Linked DNA regions of Oryzias latipes. The protein of the gene in region 2 purifies or fractionates together with the protein of the main gene of each other region. This does not show direct contact. Links are inferred from orthologs where the notes say so. Each region holds a gene or a part of one and is shown on either strand. Other genes may lie near its edges.

The links. Proteins that work in one complex are often made in the same cells at the same time.
Region 1: the proteins of chromobox protein homolog 3 (region 2) and pogz purify together in Homo sapiens (affinity purification with mass spectrometry; 7 studies listed by BioGRID and IntAct, with this or other methods). This does not show direct contact. The link is inferred for Oryzias latipes from reciprocal best matches to the Homo sapiens genes CBX3 and POGZ.

What each region holds. Positions count from the first base shown.
Region 1 is NC_019869.2:4,535,207-4,541,204, reverse strand, and holds the start of pogz (pogo transposable element with ZNF domain), read right to left. Parts: upstream 4,533-5,998; 5' UTR 4,358-4,532; intron 1,717-4,357; 5' UTR 1,711-1,716; coding exon 1,623-1,710; intron 1,241-1,622; coding exon 1,113-1,240; intron 998-1,112; coding exon 937-997; intron 576-936; coding exon 354-575; intron 257-353; coding exon 53-256; intron 1-52. UniProt on the Homo sapiens protein: Plays a role in mitotic cell cycle progression and is involved in kinetochore assembly and mitotic sister chromatid cohesion.
Region 2 is NC_019869.2:11,213,937-11,221,475, forward strand, and holds chromobox protein homolog 3, read left to right. Parts: upstream 1-2,742; 5' UTR 2,743-2,874; intron 2,875-3,546; 5' UTR 3,547-3,554; coding exon 3,555-3,700; intron 3,701-4,364; coding exon 4,365-4,521; intron 4,522-4,620; coding exon 4,621-4,715; intron 4,716-5,373; coding exon 5,374-5,500; 3' UTR 5,501-5,893; downstream 5,894-7,539. Other genes in the region: nuclear factor erythroid 2-related factor 1-like, read left to right, coding at 1-236.

The DNA.
Region 1 (5,998 bases), about 6.7 Mb from region 2:
TATATTTTACTGCAAAGAAGGGGGAAAAAAGACCCCCAGTTAAGAACCAAACCTTTTCGTAGGAGTTTGTTGGCTGCTGGTTTGCTGTTGAGGCCTTTTTGTTTCGGGACCGCTGGAGGTGTGCATTGAGGAAGGCTGGACTTTGGAGGCGACGTCCCACCAGAGGGAAAAGGAGCGCATTGTGAAGGAGAATCACTTGTGAAGTTCACATTGTGGTCATTTAGAACCTTCTGCGCTGCTTCGCCTGAGACCACACCTGGATTAAAATGAGCGTTAACGTAGATGCAATAACCACCAAACCTTCACAGGCACTGATCAGCAGGCGTTAGGGTTTTGTTGGTTGCATTGAGTACCTGTGATGATGGGAATAGGGTCAGACTTGGGTGAGGGGTCATGTTCTCCAGGAGAAGGAGGAGGTGAAAGCCTCGAGGAGGTGACAGAAGAATTTAAGGAGCCTGTGGCGTTGAAGAAATGCGTCCCTGCAGGACTGTGGACAGTCAGAGTGACTGGAATCTGGATGGAGGTGAATCCACTGGTGGATCCTCCAGGATGGGAGCACAGCCTCAACTCTGCACCTTTAAGACAGAAGAAGTCATGACTGACTAAACACATGCACCCCCCCCCCCCCCATGATATTAAATATAATACTTAGAATAGTTATTTTTAATATAAAGGACAGCTTGAAAGTTTAATTCTTACAAACAGAGACGACTGTAATTGATGGATAAATGTTTAATCCCAATTATTTTGGTCACAATTATTTTCTTGTATCTCGGTAAACACATTCTTAATGTAAAGGAAAGGATGCTAAATGACTAAGTAAACTAACTAGTTTTGCACGATAATATACACTACAAAAATGCTTCAAGTTGTCAATGCTTCACAGTTGAATTTTGGAAAAACAAATACTTGCTTATTTAAAAAACACAGACTGACCTCCAGATGGCGTGTTGACAGGTCTGCCATTGACAGTGAAGCCAAGAGATGAACCTGCAGGCTAAAGGAATTTATGTAAGGAAGAATATGAGACTATGAGTGGGGTGATCATTAAAAAACAAAAAGACAAACAGGTTATACCATAAATGACTGTCACAAAATGAGGATTTATTTACCTTTTCTGTGCTGCTGACTTTCATGAGTTTGCAGTTAGACAGAGGCGGAATTGGAACTGGAGTTATCTCGACTTGTGAAGAGTCACTTTCCTTTTTGATCTCCATCAGATTGACAAATGTTCTCACCACTGAACGAAACACATTTAATTACAGAGCAGTAATACCTAATTAATAAACTAGAGTACTTCAAACAAAGGAACACAACAAATAGCTTTTATTGCTGATTTTATGGCAGACTATGTTAATCTACCAGTCTGTTTGCAAAGAACAACAGTTTTACAGATAAGTTAACACAACAAAATTCTATATTGTTATTGCTTGTAATTTTTTTACTGGCAATACCATTTTTCTTCAGGAAAACATGTAGATGTTTTGCAAAAACAAATGAATATAAATGAGTTTACATGACTTTTAAGCAAGCATAGAACTGCTTTTTTTTAGTGCAAACTTATTTTTAGAAAACAATCTCCTTTCTTGTTCAGCTAAAATGTTTAAAAAAATCAGTCCAACCTTCATGCAGTTGTGGCTTCTGTTTTGCAACCACCGTCTCTGGTGTGTCATCCAACGCGTCAAACTTCTGCTCATCACAGTCCATCATCTTTACCTGAAAACAAAGTCCTTCGGTTAAAAAAAAAAAAAAAAAAAAAATCACACTTGCAACATTTTGGTAAAAACAGAAACATTGAACACCTAAAAATAAGCTGTTTTAATATTACAAAAAAATTAACTCAAGGAGGGAATCCAGTAAAGTTACTTTACTTTCATGTAACTTCAATTCAATTCAATTTTATTTGTATAGCCCAAAATCACAACAACAGTCGTCTCGATGGGCTTCGAAGTAAAACATGAACTCAAAAGGATCACGAATACAAAGAGTTCAATAGGAAAATACTAAAATGAACTAACAAGCTGACTAAGCTATTTCATGCCCAAAATATACAATAAAACTGTCTGAGGTTTGAACCCCCCCTACTCATCAACCCATCCAGCATCAACAGACACAAAAAACTATTTAAAAGAAACCGTCCAATGCTGATGTGTATGATCTCTTGATGTTTTATTAATTGATTTGTTTATTAATTAGAAACATATGATTGCAACTAATAGTTGTAAGTATTGACTAATCTACAAATAATTGCTTTTTAGTTAGTTTTAAAAGCAATTATTTCCATTTTTATCTATAGTTTAAATGTAGCAGCAGAAACAATTTTACTTTAGATTTTTTAATTGCTTTTCTGTTATATATAGAGGAAAGCTCTTCAAGTCCCACTCCGATCATCTTTTGATCTATTTTCAGAGCATTCCCAGTGTTCTTTTAATTATGGTTATCCTGTTTTTAGACAAACTCAAAAAAACTGTGTTGTTTGCTAGGACATCGTTTTTCTGCAGAGCGGCAGGAGTTCAACAAAAATCCGCCTTTGAGTGGTGAGAAGGACTGTTGGCACGCAAGTAAACCTGTTCTCATTTCCCACAATGCCTTTGTTTACGAGCTGTACCGCTAGCTCACAGCCCTTCGCACGCCCAACCTTACATCACCATCATAAAAACAGCAAAATCAGAGCTATCCAGCCGTACAGTTTAGATTCAGATTCCAGCTCAGACGAGGACAACAAAGACGTTCATGGATCTATTTGTCTACAAGTTGATGCATTGGAATAGAGCGGAGCAGGGAGCTGGTGGCCTGCCAATTGTACTTTATAGGTAGAAATGGCATTTTTTTGGTCTGATCCTGATTTACTATTATTTGAATAAAGAAATACTCAGGAAACACATACCAAAATACAATTTTCATTGGAGAAGGTCTTTAAGAGAGTAAGGACCATGGCCCTGACAGTTACTGACTACTTTTTCCATACACTGGAAGAACTACGCAGTTATAACTGCATTTAAAAGCTCAGAATATATTTGAAGTCCCACTCTGTTCACCTTTTGATCTACAGTGTTGTAAAATTGTGTTTTTTTTTAATCATGTTTTCGTGGCTTTTGTTATGATGGAGTACATATGCAAAGAAATTAGGGTTAAAATGGCATTTCTGAGTATTTCTTTTTTCAAACTGTTGAATTCGGAGCAGACATCAAAATGCTGCTTGATAAAGCTTGTAGCGGTAACATAGGTGCTACAATCGGCTATCCACAAGCGTCTGCTTGATGACACAGAGATCTAAGTACGTCTTGGTTTTTCCTGTCTAAGCTGGAAAAACTGTATTGGCTGGATAGCTCCGATAATGTTGAGGTTGTAAGGGACTGTAAGATAGCAGGAGAGTGCGTTAATATGTGGATTATGGGAAGCGATGGTGGGCTTACTCTGCTAACCAGAGCTACGCCCAAAACTCAGAGCCAAATTTCTAATGAATAACTTCCGCTCTGAGAATGAGAATCTAGGTTTATCGATTCTGGCTAGAACCTGCATTATGATGATGAAACCAATAATCAATAAATAAACGTATAAACTGGGAACCCTTTTACAATAGATCAAAAGATGATTGGAGTGTGACTTTTAAATGTTCTGAAATGATCTCAAAAATGTATTTAAATGTCAAAATGAAGACAGAAATTTTACATTTGACTATCCTTTACGCCACAACAATTTGACAATGACACCAGTTGACAAAAGTTATACAAGTTGCTTTAAAAACAATACTAAAATTGGCCAATATCTTTTCTTAAAAAATGTTCAAAATATGCTTTAAGTTTTGGTTGAGCAAGCAGAAAAGGGGTTAACTATAATTGACAAAGATTTCACACCTTATCGTCGTGCTAGCTTACAATTACGAATTCTCTACGATTTATTGTTTAACGTGGTTGTAGCTAAAAGTTTTCCCTTTTTGGTAGCAAAGACTAATTAACACTATTAAAACTTCATACTAAGTTGTATTCATATCAATACTCATAACTAAAAACAATAAATCATGTACACTTCAAATGTATTAGCCCTGTTGGTAAGCAAGCTAAGCTAATGTGCTATTTAGATGAGAGATTTCATGAAATTACAAAGCTATGTTCATCCAAATTACTGAATGTGATTCAACGTGAAATTGTTTTTAATAACTTTTTCTTCTCGTAATCTTACATACAGACAGTTAAATGTGTCATTTACTAAATAGAAACTAGCTTTACCAGACTTAAACCCCCACTCACTCAGCAGCTTTAGCTAACAATGCTAAATTAGCCGAAAAGCTAACTGTGGGGTTGCATTTACTTTGTAAGAAATGCAGTCCAAACAAGAGTGTAACGTGTCCACTTACCTCACATGGACTTTTCAAATGGCAAATACATAACTATTTCGTTAAAATTGTTACTTTAAAATTTGCGGTTTATAAAATAATAAATGCAGCGCCCGTTGGTCTCCGGGACATGTCTCATAGCATTTGAAACCATAAACACGCTCGACTCTGCCTTCGTTGTGCGGCGAGAACTCCGCCGTGTATCCTTCCGCTTTCTCAATGGATCTTGCCGTCTCTATTAGTGGTACTACATTCACGCAAGGCGGAGTGATATTTACTCGTGTAGAAACATCGTGTAAGATTTTTTGCGAAACGTTATAAAGTGCGAAAAGTATCACTTCGCAACCCACTTAAAATAAGCGGAGGGCTATCTTTGTCAAAGTAGTTCTACTCGGAGTCCATTGCACTCTGTTGCCACAGAATGGCATGGTGTTAGCATGCTAATCGTTAGCTTCCGTGAACTCTGACATAAATACAAAATAATACGCTTGTTCTATTACTTTCTTAACTAATTCTAAAGCATACACTAAGAACTTTGTAATTTTTTAGCATAACAGTCGTAAGGGTATACATCATAAATTGTTCTTATCGTAAAACAGGTCGTTTTTTTTAGCTAGGACCTGGCTGTGCACGATGCTAATGTGATCATAATATACTGACATTTATAGATATCTATTCCTCCGTTTTAAATAGTAGTATTTAAATTTGAGAGACGTATATGTTTATTTAGCAAGCAAAATCTATAAATATACAGGTTTATTTAGGTTTCTTCAGCAGACAATGGTGATCAGTCAAACTAACCATAAATACAAGAATGTGACATTGTTGTGGTTTTAACATTTGTGCTTTAAGTAAAAACATTTTTTGATTATACATTTAGTGTACTTATTAAGAGTTTTTGTCGTGTTGTTGCAGAAACCCACACCTTAAGTCCTATCAGTTTAGGAAAAATAATAGTTATTAAACTAATAACACATGCAAATGTTAATATTTCATTGTTAACATTTTTAGGCTACGTTTAAAATAGTATTTTGAAGAAATCTATTTCATGTTTCTATCTTGTTGTACTTTATTTTGGAATCTGGACAGTATTAGCATCATGCTAACAATTGTGAGCCTTTTGTTTTCAACTAATATTTAGTCAGTGGTAATGTCTATTGGCAAAATATATGCTAGATTTAGTCATTTTTACTAGAAAGAAAAAAATCAATGTGTGTTACTTATGGATCAAACAACAGATGACTTTTTACTTTAATTTGCTATTTACGTTTTTGGCCTTCATTTATAGTTGATACTATATGAATTGATTTTTTTGGTAGGATTTAAGCCAATGTATGTCCATATTATAACATCTATTGCTTTAAAACCTGCCTTTAATTAGATATTTACAAAGTAGGCTCACTTTGTTGGCAAAAGGAAGCTGAGAGACAGGATCAGAGGAGGATAAAGGATTATGGAAAAGCTAAGGTTTATGGATGTAACTTAGTAAAGACCATAAAGGCAGTTAGTGTAAGTGAAAAACATCTGAAAACATCAGCAATCCATTGAAAGAAAACAAGAAAATTTAATTGTATGTTTATTTAATTGAAAACCTTAAAGCTTTAAATGATTTAAATGTTGCCAAAATTCCAAGTTTTAATGTAAAAAAAAAAACCCGCACAT
Region 2 (7,539 bases):
GAGATAAACAGCTTACAGCCAAGACGATGGGTGCCGTGGGGCATCAGATAAGGCAGCTGACCAGAGATGTGTTGGCGCGGCTGAGGGATCGTTCAGGACAGCCCTTGAACCCAGAGAGATACACTCTGCAGTGTGGCGCTAATGGGAGGGTTGTAGTCCAGCACATCAGACAACCTGCTGTCTCCACATCTGCCAGCAACAAGACAGACAAGAGGAAAAAAGACAAAAAGCAGTGATGATCGTTTACACACCGAAACTTAGGATTTACCTTTTCTGGGCATATTACTATGCTGAATGGCTTGACTCTGGTTTTGGGATGCCTTCTTTTTTGTTAGTGTATATGGATCCAAAAGCTGCAAAAATAGACATTCATAAAGATAAAATCCTAAAAAGAATATCTGTAAATATTGAGAAAGTTGTAGCTTTCACACTGGACTTTGGCAAAACAAATGGTGCACTTATGGGAACAGCTTAGTGTGTGGCAACTGTACCGGTCTCTTTGTCCCTGCTAAGTTCTAAGACTTTGTGATGGTTACTGCTTAGAGATCACACAAGTGTTGATTCTGTTAGTTTCTATTTACGTTTTGCCTTTTTTTTTTAACCATATCGAAGAAGAGGAAGAAGTAAAAGATTGTATTTATTAAAGTTTTGTCAAAGAGCTCAAAGTGAATATATACACGATGAGACTGTCCAGGACGGTGTCTTTTTATTATAACTTAATCTAAGTGAGCAGACAATTGAAATTTCAACAATCGGATATTGGAGAACACTTTATATTAGATTGATAATTACTATTTAACGATTGGCATTTGACAAAACAAGCGTTTGAGTTTTTGCCTCACTTGTCTTTATGACAGACAGAAAAAAACTGGTAAGATTGACCAAATCATAAAATTGATTTACTTTTGTAAGATAATGAGCATTGTTAGAGGTTACAATAACAAATCTTTTTTAGGTTTTTCCTATTTTCTTGCTAAATAAGTTGTTTGTGGGTATGCAAAAGTGTGCCTTTGATCTAATGACTTTTTTTTTTTTTTTTTAAGTTTGCTGAAGTTGACATTTTCGTGAAAAAATTACAATCACAAACTCTCGGTTTAAATGTTGTTGATTTGGTTTCATGTGCTTTCTGTGACATTTCTATCTGTTTCTGCCATTTCCTGTGTGAGCACATTGCTACATATCTGTTTACTTCAGGATAAAAAAAATACTCCCAAGTTTTCCACTTGATTTATTTAAACTTACATTTCAAAAACCTTTTCCATTTTTTTAAATGAAATTCTACCTCAGGTTTATTTTTTTTTCCTAATCCCTTTTTGACTAATTTGAAAGGTTTGGTGAACTTAAGTGTACTTGTATAATAAAATATTCATTATTACTGTGACCCCAAACAGATAAGCTGTCCAGTTACTTAAAAAATCTATCAGCAAGGCAAGATGTAACCCTTTAAATATTTGTCATTATGCAAAGGGATTGCTATGAAAACTATGGGTTCACAGCTTTACAAAGTCAGCCAAGTGTGTGAAATAATTGTGGAGTGCATGAAGTGACATTTTTCTTTTCCTGGTTTAGCTTAAAGTTTACTTTTCTGTCTCTAAGTTTCGCAAATGTGTGTCTTTCTTGTTTTTTGATTGTTTGCTTGTTGATTGCTGATAGTATGGTTTTTCTTGAAGAATTTAGGCGCTTTTGGGGGATTTGTTTACTCTGAATAAAAAAAGAAAGTGGCATTCTTGTTGTTTTTTCTGATAAATATAAGATTATTGTTCACATTTTATGTGTACCTTTAAGTCTAAGCATTTTTTAAAGTGGGGTGAATGTCTTTCTCCTAACTTAAGTACTTTGCTAGTGCTTTAAGTTTTTATTATTATTATTAATCCAAGTACAACTCAAATCACACCATTTGGCCAGTGCTGTAGTTATTTGGTATTGTCAAAAATGGTAAAGAAGACATTTTGACAAAATTACAATTTTTCTAGCAGAGAATTTTTTACTAACTCGGTTCACTTGGTGTAGAAGATATTGTTCACTATTGCAAATAAAAATAAAAAAATAGAAACATTTGGATTGCAAAAGTGTAGACTGAAGCACAGATCATTTTATTTCGCCTTCACACTTATAGCAAAGGTATTGCTTTAGTGTAACTAAATTTAACAGACAACCTTATATTTATCAAGTAAAGATTACTGAAAATGAATCACTTTACATTTGATAATCACATTGAGACAGTAAATAATTTTCACAGCTTTAAACACTGATACTTAATTTTTTTCACACTCAATCAATACAACTGCACTGACACAATATTGTTTTGTGTATTTGTTATTTTATTTAGGGCTTTATTATTAGGATTCTATGCACCCAAATTCTGTAGATCATTCTATAGCAGGTAAGTTGGTTTGCATAAAATAAACATTTTTTGTAGTATTCTTTAGTAACACGAGTTTATTTTAGCTCAGAAGTCATTTGTAAGCGTCAATATCAAAAAAACTCAAGACATACAGAATATTTAAAACACAAAAACAACTATAAGCTGTTCCTTTATTAGTGAAAACGATAGAAATGTGTCAATGTTTTAAACATGCTGCAAAGCTTTACTCGTGTATTCTCATTTTTCATTTAAAATGAAAAAACATATTTTAAAGATTGTGAGATAAACCGTTATATAAACTGAGAAAAAATAAATGACGTAAAAATAAACTAACAGGACACCGTAGAGTCACAAGTGCTCTAAAGCAAATTGTTTCCTTACGGGCTTCCGTAGCCTACTCGCCTTTTGCGTTTGGCGCGCACCCTCCTTTCTTCATCTGTACATAAAGACAGGCAGTGACCGCGTGGTTGAATAAGTCGTCACCGAGGTCATTTTCTAGGCTTTACAAGGTATGTAAGCTACGTTTACCGGTATTAAATGCTGCATCTCATCTCTTTGTTTTTGAACTTTTTTTCTTAAATAACTAAGACGTAAGGAGTAATTTAAGCTAACTTCTTCATCATAGAAATGAATGCAATGAACCGAACAGAATTTGTATTTGACTCTTCACAGCTCAAGCTTTTTAAGTTTATCAAGCCCGAGTGTTGTATGAATAGTATACTTTTAGTTTTAGACTGTTGATTGTCTCGTTTTGCTATTGCTATTAACTTAACACTAGCACGAACAATCTTTCGTTTTTTTGTTGGGTGTCGATATTGCTGTATTGTTGTAATTATTTGAGGCGTTAAGGTAAGATCTAAAGAAAACACGTTTTTGTAGCATGTTGATGTTCCTTTTTAGTAAAAAGATATAAACAATGGTACCATGGCCTCAAACTGTTTTGGCTACGTTAGCATGTTGGCTAACCCAAAGGACGCTAGTACCATTTACGGAAAACTTGCGGAGTGAACGTGGCCGAGTCGCGTCCGTCGTAAAAAGTTGGAAAAACTAAACACACACATGCTGTACACCTTTATATTTACGGTACAAGCCTTTCTGCTAAATGTGGGTCCTACAGGTGAAGTGGAAAAGGGCAGTTGCGTGATACATCGGCAATTGACTCTCCTTCCTCTTGGTTTTAGAGGCCAGAATGGGCAAGAAGCAGAATACAAAGAGTAAGAAGGACTCACAGGACACGCAGGAAGAGCCAGAAGAATTTGTTGTGGAAAAAGTACTCGACCAGCGTCTCGTCAATGGGAAAGTAGAGTTCTACTTGAAGTGGAAAGGATTTACAGAGTGAGTTAACTGGAGCCTCTCCAGCTAGTTCTTTAGAATGGGGAAGGGGGGTTGGCCTGTTTACTCTGTTACCACATTTTTATGTGGTTAAGGAATCAGACATTTACAATAGATTAGCATGAGCCTTAGATCCAATTTTAAAGTTTTTGTACATTTATACTATGATTCTTAATTTGACCCCTCCCCCTCCTTTAACTTGAGCTTTCATTTAGCTAAAATTAGCCAAATTTTTGGCCTCGATTTTCCTTCTGGCTTATGGGTATACAAAATGGGCTGAATACTTCAGGAAAAGAACAAGACAATTGGCTCGAATGTGGCAAGCATCTGCCCTTTTTCTTTGTTTTCCACTCACGCTGTAACTACCCATATAACGTAAACCAAAATTACAAATAGTTCATTTACATGCAAGAAGACACCAGATTATATGCTTTAGACAATTTTCTCATAACTTGACCAGTCTTGTTATTTTTTAAAGAACACCAGATTGCCCTGATCACTTGATAACCCAGATCATTTGGATCTGATTGGTTTCAGATTGTTCTGAACATGTAGTAAAGTCATTTTTGCATGAAGCTGCTAGTGTTCTCCGCATCCTGTTAGCTTTACATTTTTTTTAAAAGTCATGATTTATATGCAATTGATCACAGCCCTCTTAACTATTTAGTGCTGACAACACCTGGGAGCCGGAGGAGAACCTGGACTGTCCTGAGCTGATTTCTGCATTTTTGGAATCACAAAAGAATATTAAGGAGAAGCCTGCTGCTGTTAAAAGGAAAGCCTCCACAGATGAGCCAGAGACAGAGCCCAAGAAGAAAGACATGGTATGTCACAATGTCATTGCAGTACTTTGAGCTCAGTTCTAATTAGTCATTCTTCCATTTTAAAACTGTTTTCTGAATGTTCATGTGCTTCCACTTTAGGCTGAGAAACCACGTGGCTTTGCCAGAAACCTGGAGCCAGAGCGAATTATTGGAGCAACTGACAGTAGCGGGGAGTTAATGTTTCTGATGAAATGGTACATTTTTATAGAATGTCTCTGACTGTCTACTAGACAGAACCTTTAAAAGATGTTTATGAAATGAAAAAAATTATAAGATAAACATCCCACTTTAAAATCTGGTTCATAGGATTATCATTGTAAAACTCCTCACTACACACTTTATACACTTTTCTCAGACAAACAAACATTTTCACACTTTTCTCTCTTGTTTAAACTCTCAAATAAGACAATAAGTCCAATATTTTAGAAAGCAGACAAAAATCTGGTCACAATGGAAGATGTTTGTAATGGGCAAGCTAAACGCATTTGTACAGGAGACATGGGAGGGAGGAGATGGATGACATGGTCATCAACCAATCAGGATCCAGAGGGCAATCAAAATAAACATGCAAAGATATTTATAAAAATTTGAAGCAGCGATAGATAAACCACAGCATAGGGAGGGGTTAATGTAAAACTTGTTTTAGGTGAGCAGTACAATTTGGCCCAGAATGAAAACTTCTAGTTTGAACGTTGTTCACATTTTCTCTTAACTTCATTGGTTGGTTCACAAAAGAAACATTGTGGAAAGATGTTATTTATTGTGGAATATCATATGACTAATTTTTTTAAAGTAGTTTTATGTTGAATGTTTTTTTTTTCCATTTGTGTAACGCTGTTTAATTTTTTACAGGAAAGACTCCGACGAAGCGGATTTGGTCCCGGCCCGTGAAGCCAACACTCGCTGCCCTCAGGTAGTCATATCCTTCTATGAGGAGCGACTGACGTGGCATTCCTGTCCAGAAGATGAAGCTCAGTAACTGTTGTAGTTTGTGCTGTTCTTTGCATTACCTCTGCTCCTTTCTCAGGACGTTCTGTGCTCCTGTTTCCTGCCTTATCCTTCTAGTTACATGAATTACATAGATTTTTTTTTTTTTTACGCTTGTGTGGTTTTCAATGAGCTTTAAGGTTGTATATACTGGTTCAAAGCTTTTTGAGCTGTCAAAGGTTTTGCAATGTATGATCATTGAAGTCTTCCAAAGTATCTCATATTAAGGACCACTAAGTGTCATACATGTCATAACAACTCTAATTGTTAACAGTTTTAGTGCCTGCACTCATTCTTCCTGTTTGCCTGCTTTTTTCCCCAAAAACATTTTGTCAACAGTCTGTAAATGTTGTTTCAATTTGTAATAAAAGTTTTATGCAGCCAACTTCTTCTTTTTATCCTTTAACCATTGTTTTTTTTTTTGTTCAATTTCTTGTATTGTGGCATTTCTGCTAAGGTTGTCTTCCCCGTAACTAACAGGTAGTTTTAATAAGTGAAGATGCTCATAAAAGCTCTGGATGCAGTGATCACTCTATAGTGATTAGTGTGTCGAGCATGAGACATGAACTTTGGATATTCCTTTCTTTTTCTGTCAAAACATTTGAGCAAACCATATATAAGCACTAAGCAGTGTTGGTGACCCTTTATTTGTAATGAGTGAATTAACGAAATCCTGGAAAATCCTATGCTTTCGCCCTTACATTTTCAGATTTGATTTGTTTGGAAAAGGGAATTGATAGAAATCTCTTTTACTCTTTAGTTCAATAAATGTTTTTCTATTTCAAAATCTCACCAATGACCCTTTGGTGTATGAAACAAAGTTTATTACATGTGTAGTCTAACTTTTTATTTAAATTCTTCAGCTATCTTACTGTAAAAGGTGACCGTCAACCAAGAAGCTCATCCAGGAGAACACGTAAATGGAAACATTCTTGGTAAATTTAGCATATTAAGGTTTTTTTTATAAAGCCCTGGACATATTTGAAAAAAAATTGTTCTTTCACATTCATAATTTGTGTCCACATTTTAGTATTTTTTGTGCACAAATTAGTAGTTGGAATTAACAATGCTAAATTTGTGACCACAAGTGAGTAATTTAAGGGAACAATTAGTTTTTTACATCATGTTCAGTGCTATGTATCCTTTAACAAAAAGCAATAAACAAAACATGTAGTGGTCCAGATTGTTAATAGGTTAACAAATTATTTTTCTCGTGAAGTTGCATCTTTGTGTTCCAAAGCTTCCTTTTATCTATGGAAAACCTTTTTATTATTTAAAATAATGTGATGTTTTTTGTCATTTGTTGTGAAACACTGAGGTCTAATACCCTTAGGATCCGTTTTAATTTGGACTTTTAATCGAACCACTAAGAAACAGGTTCGCAATGACGCAACGCTTAAGCGCCCGGATTTTGCGCACACCTGGGTCGGATGAGCAATCAAGAAAAAGTCTTTTTTGTTTGTTTTTAATCTAGCGCATGGCGTGTGGGTTTGTTTTAATGTTATATCCATATGTCTACTTGCATTGGCCTCCCCCAAAGCACGGAAGGGTCCCACTGAGCAGCTTACTTACATAACTTCTGTGCACACGAGCTAAACTCTGAACTACAGCCCTGAGCCGGACCAGTTGGTTTAAAGAACAGATTTGTTTTCCACACGCAGCCCTCAGAGAAGAACGGTAAGCGCAAATGACAAAACATCAATTTAAGTGTTTAAAATGTCCTTCAGAAATACAAATTTTTCTTAAAGAGTGCTATTCAATTGTTCAATAAAAAGTTAATATTGTAAGCATAGAGGCAAACATCTCTTTGGCTTTTGTTTTTCCTTAAGTTTAAGTCTTATTGATTGTAAATCCAAATTAACCTCAGTGTGCCCACTTATCTTTTATTTTTTTTATTTTAATAATTGTATTTTATTGACTGATTTAGTAAACGATGACTTCTTGTGAAGCTGAAAGGTCTGACATTAAGGAGGAAGTTCAGTGAGTTACTATGATTTCATGTGATGATGGAAGCACAGTGCTGCTTCAACC